Oreochromis niloticus: one gene and its partner. Each later gene encodes a partner of the first gene's protein in a complex. Links are inferred from orthologs where the notes say so. Each region holds a gene or a part of one and is shown in the gene's direction. Other genes may lie near its edges. The genes, in order: vps54 and vps51.

Evidence for each region.
Region 2: vps54 (region 1) and vps51 share a complex: the UniProt entries of both Homo sapiens proteins name them as parts of the golgi-associated retrograde protein (GARP) complex. The link is inferred for Oreochromis niloticus from reciprocal best matches to the Homo sapiens genes VPS54 and VPS51.

What each region holds. Positions count from the first base shown.
Region 1 is NC_031971.2:1,113,469-1,120,979, reverse strand, and holds the start of vps54 (vacuolar protein sorting-associated protein 54), read left to right. Parts: upstream 1-4,466; 5' UTR 4,467-4,547; coding exon 4,548-4,577; exon of another isoform or gene 4,578-4,658; coding exon of another isoform or gene 4,659-4,665; intron 4,666-7,511. UniProt on the Homo sapiens protein: Acts as a component of the GARP complex that is involved in retrograde transport from early and late endosomes to the trans-Golgi network (TGN).
Region 2 is NC_031975.2:9,248,855-9,256,559, reverse strand, and holds the start of vps51 (vacuolar protein sorting-associated protein 51 homolog), read left to right. Parts: upstream 1-4,545; 5' UTR 4,546-4,820; coding exon 4,821-4,997; intron 4,998-5,374; coding exon 5,375-5,504; intron 5,505-5,617; coding exon 5,618-5,764; intron 5,765-5,860; coding exon 5,861-6,080; intron 6,081-6,558; coding exon 6,559-7,453; intron 7,454-7,610; coding exon 7,611-7,705. Other genes in the region: frmd8 (FERM domain-containing protein 8), read left to right, coding at 944-1,172, 1,300-1,409. UniProt on the Homo sapiens protein: Acts as a component of the GARP complex that is involved in retrograde transport from early and late endosomes to the trans-Golgi network (TGN).

The sequences.
Region 1 (7,511 bases):
TGTAAAGTCTACCTTACAATATAAAGCGCCTTGAGGCGACTGCTGTTGTGATTGGCGCTGTATAAATAAAATTGAATTGAATCTTGGGTAGATCCAGCATCCTAAAATGAATAAGGGCATTACCAGCGAGAAATAAATTAGTTAGCATTGTTGTATCACAGCAGGAAGGTTCTGAGTTCAGTTCCACCATCATGCTATGCATGTTCTCCCCGTGTTTGCGTGGGTTCTATCCGCGTACTCCGGCTTCCTCCCACAGTCCAAAGACATGCAGTTAGTGGGGTTAGGTTAAACTGGCCATAGGTGACATTGTGAGGTTGTCTATCTCTCTTCGTTAACCCTGTTAGACTGGTGACCTGTCCAGGCTGTAAGCTGGCTCTCGACAGCTGGGATAGGCTCTACCGTGACACCGTTTAAATATATCGTTTTCAGTAAACCACTTTGAAATTATTTTAGCTTTGCGGCATGGCGAGATCCTGCTGAAAGTAGCCATCAAAAGATGGGGACACTGTGGTCATAAGAAGACGGAAAGTTCAATAACAGTACTCTTGTAGGTTATTTCATTGAAATGATGCAGTTGCATAGGGTTGCCAACTCCCTGAAAAATAAATAAGGGACACCTCGTGGCCAGGCCCAGTGTTCCAGATCAACTGGCGTTTAGATCAACTGGCGTTGGTCGAACAGATGTGTGGCAGTCTTGCGTTTCAAATGTAGGCCACAATAAATATATGATATCATTTCATTCTTTTCAAAGGTTTATTTGCATGACGCACAAACAGACACAATTGAAAGGTACAAATGTGTTGTGCATGAAACGAATTCAAACGTGGTGCAGATGTGTGTCACAAGTTGATCTGGCTGTAGGCTGTGGCACTTGGCCAGAGGTGGCGCTGGTTGACTCGAGTCCATGTTAGTGCACACAAAGTAAACTGCACGCTTTAGTTGTGAAGCAAAAACGCTGAACCCGGAGATATAAAACGTGCGAGGGGGACGATAACGACGACAAGAGTCTCCTGATCGTTTACTCTTGCTGTCCTGTGAAGAATACCGGCATGGTGTTAATTGTTTGCTGTTTTCGCGATCGCGTCGCGCATGAGGATATCACCAGGTAAACTCGCGACATTTTTAAACATTTTGTTGTTCAACGGCATCAAGACTGACGGAGTGTGTTTGAGATAACCTCACAAGTGTCACAGATGACACATTTGGCGTTTTTTTTTTGCTGGTTTGTCGGTAGCAGCTCCTGAAACACAAGACTGCCACACATCTGTTCGACCAACGCCAGTTGATCTAAACGCCAGTTGATCTGGAACACCGGGCGACCCAGTTGTCTTCACCGTTCCCAGTGTGGTGAATTTTGTAGCTCTTTTTTTTGTGTGTGAAATTATTTTTTTTAACCATTTGACTTGAATTTGATTTAAGTAGATGTATATTCTTTGTGATATGAACACATGGGAAACAAATGATCATTTAGCCATTTATTTTTAGCTCAAAATGACAACATTAACACAATAAAACAGGTCTCTTTCTTAAACAGAAGCCTGTCATGCTTAACTTTTGAGAATATAAGTAAATCTTTCTTTAAAAGAACTCTGTCCTGCTTAACTTAAAATTATATAAATTAATAGAAAACAATAGAACGAAAAACATTCTTGTAACAGTGCACATATAGTGCTTTTAGTGCAATTGGCTTCAGTTGAGGTATTATTTCAGCTTTTCTAATGCTAATCAGCTGCTGCCGTTTGTAAACCCACTTGTTCCCATGATTACGCATCATAACTCATCATCATTATTCATCTATGTATTACTTTTATGTATTAGTCATCTGTTTGTTGTAATCATCTATCCCTGCAGTTGTTTATTACACAAAATAAATTATATTATCACACTTCTGGCCACATAGCGCTGATATTCACTGCACATGCCCATATTAACCTTAACCAGAGGGTTTAAAAAAAACAAACCAGTGTTTACATACCATATCTGCTTCTGCCGTGGCCTGGTGGACAAAAAATTGGTTAAGGGTTCCCCGAACTTTCACGCCCCTCATGTTCTTCATGTGCCCACCATTAGAAGCATGCCTATGGAAAAAGTGCGCAGGCACACAGTGCAGTGCGCTTTATAGGTGTTATCGTGCATTTTTCCAGCCAGGTGTTTTCCTTTTCCCATTCCTCCCAGTACTTTTGCAGCCTTTTTTTTTCTTTCTCTGAGGGGAACAAACATTGCTGGTCTAATGCTGGGCTTAAGCTGGGCATACACTGTGCGATTTTTCCAGTCAGCTTCAGCTCAAACTGCACGATTGACTCGCAGGGGTTAGAAGTTCGCAGGTCACGATGCAGGGTCTCACACTATACGCCCGATGCTCTGATGCGACCTGAGTGCTCACACTGTGCGTCCATAAAAATGAAGGTTATAACAGAAAATCTGTCGCTCGCTCTCCCTCTCTGTCTTTCACTCACACAGACTCACGCCACCACCATCAACTTTGCTAAATTGCTGTGTGAGGACTCAGGTCGCATCAGAGCAACCGGTATATTGTGAGACCTTGCATCGTGACCTATGAACTTATAACCCCTGCGAGTCGATTGTGCAGTTTGAGTAGGAGCTGAATAACGTGACTGAAAAAAATCGCACAGTGTATGCCCAGGTGTACTGTCGTCCGAGACTTGCACCTAGTGATGGGTCCAGCAACACTGACGCACTGACGCATGTATCAAGCTCACCTAGCGAAGCCTGTATCGGTGCATGCGTCGCTTTAAGAAAAAGTCACGTGATCGATACAGCTGCTGTATCGCTCATTGCCAACGCGCCAAACTGTGTCTAAAAGGTACCGCATCTGCCAACGGAATGAGGCCACCAAAGACCCCCACAAAATTACTCTCGCAAAGATAAATAAAAATACACATCTCTCCATAACAAAATGGAGCCCGAAAGAAAAAGAAATGTTTCTGCTGTGTGGGATCATTTTTAACTTTTAACTGCAAATAGTTCGTCTGTCTTTGTTTCAGTGTAATCTATCAGAATAGGAAAACCAGCAATGTGACTTGCAGTGTAAATTATTTATTTCATTTTGTGCAGGTTAAATGTTGCATCTGTTCTGTGGAGCTTTCTTACACAAACAAAAGCACCTCCCCAGTGTTTAGGCATTACAGAGACAAACATGAAAATGAGGAGACAAACACACCGAGAATGAACACAGGTAGGCCTATATTGACACTGAACAGCTTTATCATCTTTTTTTTTTTTTTTTTCAATATGTGTTTTATTATTTTCAAATCAAGCATCTAGGAAGACTGTTCTGGGCCAGGCAGTCCTGAATTTTATTATAAAGGACTGTCAACCCCTTAGTATTGTGGAGAGAAACATTCCAAGATCAGAGGATCCTTTAACGTACTGGGGGAATAGGAAGACGTTATCAGAACCTTTTCCACCTGGCTTTACAGTTTTTGTGTACCCCAGCTTCATCTGTGCCTCTGAGTTTTCCAAAGCTGGGGAAATGGTGTCAAAAAACCCCGCAATAGACTGAATGCAAAAACATTGGATAAACTTATTTTTCTGAAAGGAAATTTATAATAAAGTCTGAGGCAATTACATTTAAATTGACTCAGATGACTAAAGATGTCTACACTATTTGCAATGTAAAACATATAAAATGATTCCATGGAAAGTACAATAACTTACAGTGTATACAAGTATAAAAGTATAATATAACTAGGTCATTGAATCAGTGTCCGAGTCTCAAGTAAGTTGCCTGCAATGATATTTAAGGTCCAGCAGGTGTCAGTATGGAGCAAAACAGCAACACTGTCGACACAGTATCGATACAGTTTGGGGAATGTGCTGAAACGCTTCACGAGGCCTCATCTATCCATCACTACTTGCACCGCAGTGTCAGCGTTTGTTTCCCTGTTGGCCATGCTTCTTGTTGTGGTCATCTGTTGCCTTCCGGTATTTTCTCCGCAAGCGACCTTTCCTCGACCAATGAGAGGTAATCTGAATTGTCATAAGTGTGCTGTCAGCTCATTGGTCACAAAGCAGGAGAGGGGCTGGGAATTAAGTTTTCAAACAAAGCGTTAATTCCATTAAAAGTTATAGACTACTTTTGATTCTCACTGTATTACGGGACAAAGTGCGTCCCTTTTCAGCTCAATACGGGACGATTCCGTTTTTCAAGGGACGGTTGGCAACCCTAGTTTTGCAGTTTCGTTAAACCCTGCTTCAAAATCACTTAAATCACCTTTCGTTGCCCGTTCTGATACTCAATTTGAACAGCAGTTCGTCTTGACAATGTCTACATGACAAAATGCTGAGTTGCTGCTATATTAGATCTGCTATATTTATATTTATATTTAACAGTTTAACAGCTGTATCTAAAAAAAAGTGGCCGGTGAGTGCGCACTTTGTTGTCTCTTGTATATGGACCAATAACATTGATACGGACCGATTCAGCTTTAGTTAGCAGGGGGCAGCAGCGAGCTTTCAAGACTGAAACTTGCAATAAGGCAAATAAAGAACCTGACGTTGATGTTCGTTCCTCTTTCCGGCAGTGCATGATGGTCCGTATACCGGTATTAACTGCTGTGAGTCCTATTGTTTTCCCCTCGTTTCCTTTAGTGCTACTGTGATTATGAAGAAAAGACACACCGTCCGCTTTATTTTACATGACAGGTAGGTGTCCAAATGAAGCCTCTTGGTCCCCTGTCATTCCTGGCTTTCTTTGGTGTTTTTATGTCGCCTTTTGGGGTAGTTGTATCCGGCTAACTTGCTAGCATTGGCCAGTCTACGTGTAACTGCCGTTGACAACATTAGCTGTAGCGTTAGCTCTAGCATGTAGCTAAGGCCGCGAATATTCTGCGCCACATCAGCCACTGACAACAAAACTGCAATTAGTTTTGTGTGTTTCATGTTGCTGTTAGGCATTGACTTCACTGTCAGCATGAACGGTTGTAATGCAAACACCTGCTGGCAATGCGTGCACTGTAGCTAGGCTAAGGCTAGCTGCATAGCTTCTGTTACATCTACTTGTCCCGATGGGAGGCACAGCAACGATGACAGGCGAAAGCATAAACATTTTAATATCAAACATTAAATGAGTACAAGTGACAGCTGTTTTTTCTCAGCTCAAAAATAATCACGAGATGTGTTATTCGGTGAGGAAATTTACGGCCATGTTTATTTCTTGGCACTTGGCATTTCCGGAATATATTAGGGTTGCTGATTTACATTACAAGGCAACGTTTATGCCTGAAAATAATCAGTTCTCGCTGAGTAGACTATAATGTGATGGAAACAAGTGGAATCGAGTTCAGTACAGCGGCTGCCCTTGGTATTGTACTTTCACTTTTGCTGATACTGAGATAAGGATTAAAAGCTCGATTAATTAATAAGATCCTAATATATGATGGCGCACAGTTTTTTGTTTAACAAGTATTCCTTGAAAAAAGAAAAATTACTGATTCAGGCCTTAACATGTCAACATAGAAATATAACTGAGCTTTTATGATCTTAGCAAGAACATCTCTGTGCAGTTATGCTCCTGTTTTACTGTAATTTGCTGAGGATTTATTGGTTTTGAGTATTTTACAACGGTTGTCTACGAGGGGCAAATGAAAATAAATGAGGAAGGTGTTATAAGCTGCTCGTGCTTGTTTTTTTTTTTTCTTTTATGGTTGGGATTCAGTGTTACTGCTTGACATGTCTTATATGTCATATAGTGAAGAACTAGCCAGTTTATATACCTGATGTACCTGCATAAATAAATTCAAATGATACTTATTTTAATCTCTGGCAAACCATATTACTGCCATTCCTTCAAAGCAGTCTGTCTTCAAAAAGATGAATCGGACAATCATTCCTATTTTTAGCTCCATGCAGTTGCAGTGGGTGGTAGAAAATTGACGGACCAAGGATCCAAGATGGTTGTGAGAGCTTGAATCTGTGACAAGTCTGAAGTTTTATGTGTTAAGATGGTTCTTAATATTTTGAAAACATTTTTTAAAATGTAAAACCAATATGAAGGAGCCAAAAACAGTTCTGATAATAATGGGGAGCGCGCAGATCTGTAATCCTCTCATTTGTGTGATGGGATTAACAGCAGAGGGTCATACACCTCCACAGTTTGAGCAGTCAGATTACAACTGACTGTTAGCACAGCCACATATCATTGGTTTACAGCTGCCATTTAACCAGCAGTTTTCTTTCAGTTGTTAACCACCAGGGCTGTAAAATGGAGCCAAGATAAAATTCTAAAAATGCAGTTCTTCCATGGCCATGTGAGCTTTGGTCCAAAAGACAGTAATGTAACTCATGTTAAAATGTCTGCTTCTACAGTAGTTAAAGCATTTTACAGGGTGGTACACAAAACCTTTTGACCCTATAGGTAGTTTCTCCTTGTATAACAATTGTAAGACGGCCAAAAAGCAGCACAAGTCTATTGGCTCAGGCAGGTGGAGCTAGGTACTTTTTCCAGTTGAATCAGCAGAGCATCAAATATGAAATGTGGTCAAAGTTCAGATGTATTTTGTGTTTGATCAGGTGTTGCCGCCTTGGTCAGCTTTTTGTCAGCTTGCATTTTGCGCTACAGATGCTGCAGAAAATGTCTGCATCAACTTTTAAAGAATTTAAGCACACCTGAGCGCACTTTCAACACGTTGCAGATGTATGTAAGCTTACTGACTGGAGGTTGATAGAACTCTTTTTAGATTTAATGCAGCACTGTTGAAAGCTGCACCAGTCAATACTCTACAGCTGCAGCAAGGGGTCGCTATAGCAGGTATTTTTTTTGTACTGGATGTTCTTCCTGACGCAACCATTAAGAGGTTTGTGTCTTGTCCCATGATCAAACTTGGGATCTTTTGCTGGTTAGATGAATGTGTAAAAGACTTTATGGCAAAACTAAAGGAACACCAACACATTACACATACAAGAGTTGCTCAGCCATTGAAACCCATGCCACTCAGCATTTACTGAGCCAGCAGAAGATTGGCAACTTTTACACATTATGCACTTCAACACTTAGCAATCACAGTATAACTTTATACAGTCTGCTACTTTGAGGCTGAGCTGCTGTGATTCCTAAACGCTTCCACTTTGCAATAACATCCCCTACAATACCCCCACAGTTGATCATATCTAGGAGGGAAGACTTAGACTAGGATGCCTCCTCTTGCAGTACCACACTTGAATTTTCTGAGCTTGTTAGAGTGATTCATTCTTTCACAAAAGTTTGTAAAGGCAGACTGTGGCAATGGGTCTAAAAACACTCAAATTCAAAGGTTAATTAGATTCAGCCACCAATAATTTTTTTTTAATGTATTGTTGCTGTCACGAATGGCGTACAACAGAAGGGGAAGACTTGATACTAAAAGCTGCCAATTTCAAGAAATCATCATTTTGAAACCACAAACCTGCAGAGAGAGGGAGACGGGGAGAAGAGACTTCAGAAAGTCCCTGACTTGATACAGCTCATGCACCTACAGCAAAATATCTTAACCTAGACTAAATCTAATAGAGAT
Region 2 (7,705 bases), on another chromosome or scaffold:
TTGTAAAAAGTCTGATATGAACCAGAAAACTATACTTTGCAAAATTATACCACAAACCAGTCCCCACCACAGATTCCGACACAACAAACCTGTTCTAGCACCTACGCAAGGATCACATGAAAGAGTATGGAGAGGGTTCACAAATGAGAAGCAAAAAAAGAACCGTTAGGTGCTCAAAATACAACAGAGTCAAGTGTTAGAACAGCCTTTACCCTCGGCGCGCCATATAATAGACTCACAAAGATGGAAGGAGATAATAGCAGCTATTGCAGCTTTTATCTATAAAGACACGGTCCTAACTTAGAATGTCGAGAAACAGGGATTTCTAAATTGGTCAAAACACTTGACATGTCCAGCCGAAAACACTTCACGCAAGTCCAGTTGCCTCATTTATATTATGAGTGTCGGGCCAAAACATTGGAGGAAATCTACAATGTAGCATGCTACACTGCAGCATCAAATGTATGCACAGTGCACTTCACCCGAGACCAGACGCACTGCAGTCAGTGTTTGCAGACGTGCTGTCTTCTTGACGACCATGCAGGGGAAATGTTAGCCAGAGCCCTCAAGGAGGCTCTCGAGTCATGGGGACTGTGTGAGGGTCATCTAGTATGTGCCACAAAGGATGATGCCACACAAGACCCATATTTATTTTGTTTAAAGTGTTTTTTAGCCTTATATCGTTTTTAGTGTGCATTTGCATTTCATATATGTTGTGAGTATTTTATGTTGGGTCTTTAGTTATTTGATATTGAAAAGTGTCTTAGTCAAACATATGTCAAGATGTTATACATAAAAGCTCAAAAATAATCACGTATGAATGAGTACTGTTCATTTATTATTAATTAATTAGTGTAAAAAAGAATTTGTACTTTACGTGTGGCGATTATATAAACTATTCATTGAATTTACACTGAATTTTTTTTTTGTCCCATCCAACAAGGCGGAGCTCATGAGCGGCTTCATCGAGTTCTGCGTGGAGCTTAAGTCTGCGTCCGAGGGGGCAGCTGCAGCCGAGATGGACGGCGAGGTGAGTTTGTCACAGCAGCCCGGCGGACAGGAAGAAAGGAGCAAGAATGGGCGTGGCGGAAGGCGCGGGATGCTGCACAGGCAAGGCAGCGTTGTGTGCAGCAGAGTCCAGTCGCTTAACACCATCAGCTACGTCGATGACGGTGAGGGCCAAACTTGTTTAACAGCAGGGTTATCCTTTCTGGAGGTAGCTCCTTCTGTGCCGTTTCACAGTATCAGAGATTTTTTTTCTTTTCAGCATTTGTTCATTTTTGTTTTTTGTTTTTTTAGGAAAAGAAATCAAACGCTTGAAGCCCAAGAGAGCCGCGTCTTTCTTCGCCCGACAGGCGTCTGCAGTGTCCTACTCTGCAGTGCAAACAGAGAGTCTGGAGCAGGGTTAAAGTCGCCCATCAGATCTGACCCGATCCTCTCAGAGACCAAATCTGAACATTTTACACTGAGATTTAAAACAAAAAAAAAAGGAGAGATGTACTTTGAGCTTGAGACATTTATCTGCTAATATATGAACATGTAAAGGACCAAATGACAGCAATCCAAGTGTGAGTGACAATATTTATCTTCTGAAGTTGTGTACATTAAGCGAGTACAGTAATGTGAAAAAAGATCTAGCAGCTATGCTTCCAAGGTTCAACTGAAGTGGGTGTTCCTTAAACAGCCTATTGTAAAGATCATATGATGAATAAGTGTGAGACAAGCCTTATAATAATCCTCAAACAGTGACTCCAGTCAATAACTGTTTTTGACCTTTCTGCAGCGCTCTGGAAGCGGATTTACTGCTATTATTCAAACATGTTGCACCTCAAATGAGTATAACCACTGCATTACCTCTACTCATCTTATCGGGGATTGAGCATTAAGAATATTTAAAGCTTTCGTGACTCCACCTCAGACTTTAAGCGATACCACAAACGGCAACAGTCAGCATGACAAACATTTTTCAGGGGACTATCTAAGGGTGCATTTCCGCTATTCTGCTTTTTTCAAACTGCCAGTGCCTTGATCTCTACAAAGGGTGAAGCCACTTCAGAAAAAGTAGAAACGTGTCGCGTCCGGCTATCCTGACCATAAACAATCCTTATGGGAGCACATTGGCTGTGTTGTGGAGGACTTTTGTAAGTACAGGAGTTTTTGACAAAGTCAATATTAAGCGATATCTGCAGCTAGTTTGAAAGAGGTGGCACGACGACCTGCTTTAAAAATGTGAGTTTTAAAACTTCTTGTTAAAGAAGCTGCAGTTCTGTGGTCACAGTATCAAGTGTTTAAATGGATTTGCACTAATAAAAGAATTGAATTAAAGCTATAAAACTGTAGAACCTGTGTAGGAAAAAATATATTCATCTAAAGATCATCCAGCACTGCCGCACCATGCTTGTATTCAAATGTTAAATTTCAAAGCATGGACGATTAGTACAAGCGATCTGTCGGCACAGTCTAACCTGACTGTTGGACCTGATGAGCAAGAAAACTGATGCAATACTGTTCTTGTGCAACTTCTGACATGACAGAAGATAAATTGAAAGTGTAGACATTAAAGAAACTAACAGTGTTGTTTTTCTGCAAACACGGTCACTGTTGACATCATTGGGGAAAAAGGCCTCGTTTTCAGCTTTACGACGATTCATTTACCAATGCAAAGAATTTCATTACTTGATTATTAGATTTATATAGCATTAAAACAATTTCTGCTTCACTTTATCTCCAAAAGCTAACCAATCTGTTGACCCGGTTGTCACTAGAGAGCGACTGTGTGTTCTGAACACAAAACAAGGACCAAGTTGTGGCCACACTGTTGAAAATCTTAAGTCTTTCCACCAAAGCAAGCCTGTCTGACATGCTGCAACCAAGTGTGTGCTACCTTAACGCTGCAGAGACAGATTTTAGCCTCCAGCACTTGGCAGAGTCCCCCGGGTGTCACTCTGAACCCCACACTAATGCTAAGGGAGGCAGTTTCTGTCTCCACATCTCTGTAATAGCGCCTTCCACTTGAACACGTGCCCTCGTTGGAGATGTGGCGGCACATGCGGTCTATTCTTCTCGATTTTCCTCAGCATGCAAACGGCAGAATGTCCTTACTTTTCTATGCTTCAACTTGTGTATCAGCTGCTGTCTGTATACTAACGCCAGCAGCTCAGTATGTTGTTGCCAACAAACACTATGCATGTCACGTTGTAGAATAGGCATTCCGACAGTCTACACATCATGTGATGCTGCACTTGTTAATACTAATACACTGTTTCTAAACATTTTACAGCAGGAGATTTGTTTTGTATTGTTTGTTAGCTTTTATGAGAGAACACTTTTACTTTCTTTTGGTTTGTTTTCATGTACTTGCCAGTGTTTGTATATGTTAATGAAGAAATAGGTCTCAAACACTTTACAGAAGCTTAAAGTGCCTTTTTTGTTTCTACTGGGTTGGCGTCTAAATTACTGTTTTGGTGCATTGAAACCAGAAAATGGACAGTTGTGGTATTGCTATGGTTTAAAATGATGTATTTCCTTTATGTTATGTGATGTGAGTATATTTGAGTAACTGGATGGCGGATGTTGAACAGTGTACTGTAATTCCTCTCGGTTGTCAGCTCGGCCTTCATTAAAATTATGAGATGATGGAAAGTGGCCCCGTTTTTCTGAACATACCTGTCATCAAATATTCCTTCCTCAGTCTGCTACCTGCTGCTTAAGTGTACTAAAGCCATATTTTAACCAATATGTTATTCTGCATATGATTTAATAACATAACGTCATGCAAACTTCTCATCAGTATTTCTGTGGCATTTTGTTTTACTTAAACACTTGCAGTTGTAGAATAATGTTAGAGTCGAGCCAACAATTTCTTAACTGAGGTGCCATCTTAGCTAGATCCATTTCAAATTGTTTGGGGAAATAAGTTCATTGTTAAATGTTTATGTTTTAATATATGGCAGGTATGATAAGAGTTGATATATATGTAGAAAGCTTGGTGAGTGCTCCTGTGGAAATGATTTAACATGCACCTAAAACCTCTGATTTTCTGCTTTCACAAATGATTTTCAAATACCTGAACTATATCCCAGATTATTATTCCTCTATGATTTTTATGTTCATGATAAAATATAGACTTTTGTCACATTTTAAATCTTATAATAAAAGTGTTTTTTTCCTCTGATCACTCAAGGGATGAGCATTTCTTTGTGTTTTTCTTGATTTCAACATTGTAGGATTTGCTATGATCACAGATTATCATACACATTTAATCCATTTTGGTGTCATTTAATTTTTCCCTACAACCCCCAAAAATGGAAGATTCCTTCAATCTAAGCATTTTAATATGGCGTTACGTGCCAATTAGGACATGCGCAGTTGTGCGCATAACTAGAACACTTACCTGAACAATTATGAGCTTTGTCTCTGTCTATACTTTGCCAAAAACATACATTCTTACATAAAATACATAAATTTTGAAGCCTATAGTGAATAAAAAGATCAACAAAGAGAAACTGCTCTAATTGGCTGTTTAGATTACGTGCACTGGTGGGCGACGTAACACCGGATAGGCTAGAAACCCGGAAACAACACCGCTTCCACCTAGCTGCTTCTGCCTCAGAGAAAATATGACATTTTCTGAATATTTATCCTGAATGATTTTGTTGTTTCCAGTTGGCAGCGAGGCTAAACACACAGCGGTCACACAGGAGCTTTGTGTTGCCGTTTCCCAGCTAGAGGCTGTCGTTTGTCTCCTGTCAGCTGGTCTGTCGTCGCCTTTGTTTATCGTTATTTTACTTTAAACGTTTCACAGCTGGCCGCCGTTCATTATGGACGAGGGCTCGGTGCCGGTGGCTGAGGACCCGGGAAGGAGGCGGAGAGTGCACGGCATGTTGAAGCTGTACTACGGGCTGAATGAGGAAGGAAAGGCCCCGGAGCAGCCGGAGTCCCTGGATCCCTGCGACATCAATGGGCCTCATTTTGACCCGGAGCTCTATCTCAACAAGGTGCGAAACTGCTATTGTCATTGTAATCCGTTCAGTGGCTCACAAAGCTGGACTGCTTCAGAATTTTAGCGTAAGCTTGATGCCAGATAATAGAACATGAAATGCTGAAATCGACAATACTATACACAGTGCAGATTGCAGTGATGTTACATGAACTGAAGAAAACACCAGAGTACTTCCTTCATTTGTCCCAGTTGTAATGTCACTACAAGTAAAGATATAGATGGCTGTGAATTTTAAAACACAAATCTGCTCCTGTCTTTGCCAAACAGTGAGAAATGAACCAGTGCTAATACTACATCACACTACATATAGAAGACACAAATGACCACTAAGCATATGTACAGTAACTTCTTTTTTTAAATATCCAAATCCAGCTCAGGAGGGAGTGCTCTCTCACGGAGCTGATGGACCAGGAGACCTGTATGGTCAGGCAGATCCGCTCTTTGGACAGCGACATGCAGACCCTGGTGTATGAAAACTACAACAAGTTTATATCAGCTACAGGTGAAGGGAACATCACAAACACACACACACGCTGCTGCTGTAACGTAAGCTGACATTAAATTGTGCAAACCTGGATAGCTGAAACAGCCTTCCTTTTTCTTTCCTTCTGCCAGACACTATAAGAAAGATGAAGAATGACTTCAAGAAGATGGAAGATGAAATGGATTGTCTGTCTGCTAACATGGCTGCGATCACAGAGTTCAGCGCTCGGATCAGCGGCACTCTTCAAGACCAGCATGCGCAGATAACCAAACTCTCTGGTGAGACCTAACCTGACTGTTTATTTGAATGAAACTTTTTAATTGTGTGATTTGTATTTTATTTATTTTTTGGGGTCTTACCATGTCTCACTCCAGGTGTTCACACTCTGTTGAGGAAGCTGCAGTTTCTGTTTGAACTCCCTGCAAGGTTGAATAAATGTTTGGAGCTGCAGGCCTACGCTCAGGCAGTGAACACCCACCGCCGTGCTCGCTGCGTACTGCAGCAGTACAGCCACCTGCCCTCCTTCAAGGGAATTCAGGATGACTGTCACGCCATCATGGACAAGCTGGCACAGGAGCTTCGACAGAAGTTCAGGTGACAATGACTAGTTATTACAATATATAACAAAAATAATTTTAATTGGCATAAACAGCATGTTTGACACAACTGCATAGATATTAAAATAAAAAATTAAAAAAACAGCAATTGAGTTGACTCATAGACAATAAACAAATGGACATCAACCTCATCAGAGAGGTTTTATTGACAAATTTTATACATATATACTATTTTTGCTTTGTTTTGTTTTGTTTTATTTTGGGTAGTTTTGTTTTATACTGTTTCAGTAAGTTTTTTTTCCAAAGTCTAGTTTAAATAGTGTAGTTTTATTTAAGTTGACTAGGATGTGCTTTCACACCTAGTTTTAGTTTTTAGTGTAGTTTTAGATGCCAACTCAAAAACTTTTCCTTTTATAAGAGGCTGATGCGTGAGCCAAAACTGACCAAACTTCAGGAAAAAAAAATCACACGTTTCATTAAATTTCTGCTTCTGTCTTTTCTTCTTGTGATCATAGGGATGGTGGGTCAAGTGCCAAAGATTTATCAGAGTGTGTGGAGCTTCTGTTGCAGTTGGATGAGCCAGCAGAAGAGCTCTGTGATAAATTCCTGAGCCACGCGCGGTCTCGCCTTGAGTCAGATCTTCAGGGCCTGGAAGCAGAGATAAGGCCGTACCCGTCCACCTCAGCCACAAAAGATGCTTCCGTGCATGGGTTGTCGTCTACAACAGCCCCCGGATCGCCGGCCGATGGCTCTCCCAAAAACAGCTCTCTGCCTTCCCCCGCATCAAACACTGACATTCTGGAATTCATCGACAGAGGCTGCAATGAGTTTGTGAGCAGTTTATGTTTGGTAATCACGTCCTATCAAGAACTGTTTATCAACCATGCTCAAAAGGGTGAGCTGGCATCCAAAAATATTCCTCAGATGGCAAATGGCAAGCTGCATGTCTTTGTGGATGATCTGGCTGCTCGATATTTCATGCTTGTCGAGCGGAGGATACAAGAGGAGAAAGGGGTCGGGGATAACTCCCTACTTGTACGTGCGCTGGACCGCTTCCACCGCAGACTCCAGGCTGTGGCCAAACTTCTGCCTGGCTCAGCTGTGCCAAACAAGGGGACGGAGATTGTGATACGGGCGGCAACGGAGCGAGTCAAGCAGTACCTTTCCGCTCTGCAGAGCTTCTACATGGACAGCTTGACAGACGTGAGGCAGGCTCTGGCAACTCCTCGTCTCTCTGTGGCTGGCACTTCTGTGGCTGGGCCAGCCTCTGGCAGAGACGCTCCAACCAGCCTACCAGAGCTGCTCTCCTCCCTGTCAGCCTCAATTCTCAATCAGATTAAGTCGGTGCTGGCGTCAGTGCATCTCTTTACAGCTAAGGACATCACATTCTCCAACAAGCCGTACTTCAAGGTGAACATTTTCTGGGGTTTTTTGCTCCCAAACTACCTTTTATAGTTTTCATATGAGTTTGAACTAATGTGTGACATCATGTGTTACTGTAACCCTGCGTGTTGTCTCTACATTGTGCGAGTGATACCGGTTTGTGTGTGTCTCCCCTCCCTTTTAGGGTGAATTCTGCAGCCAGGGTGTACGTGAGAGCCTGGTGGTGAGCTTTATCAAGTTTGTGTGCCAGTCTTCTCGGCAGTTTTGTGAGACCGCCGG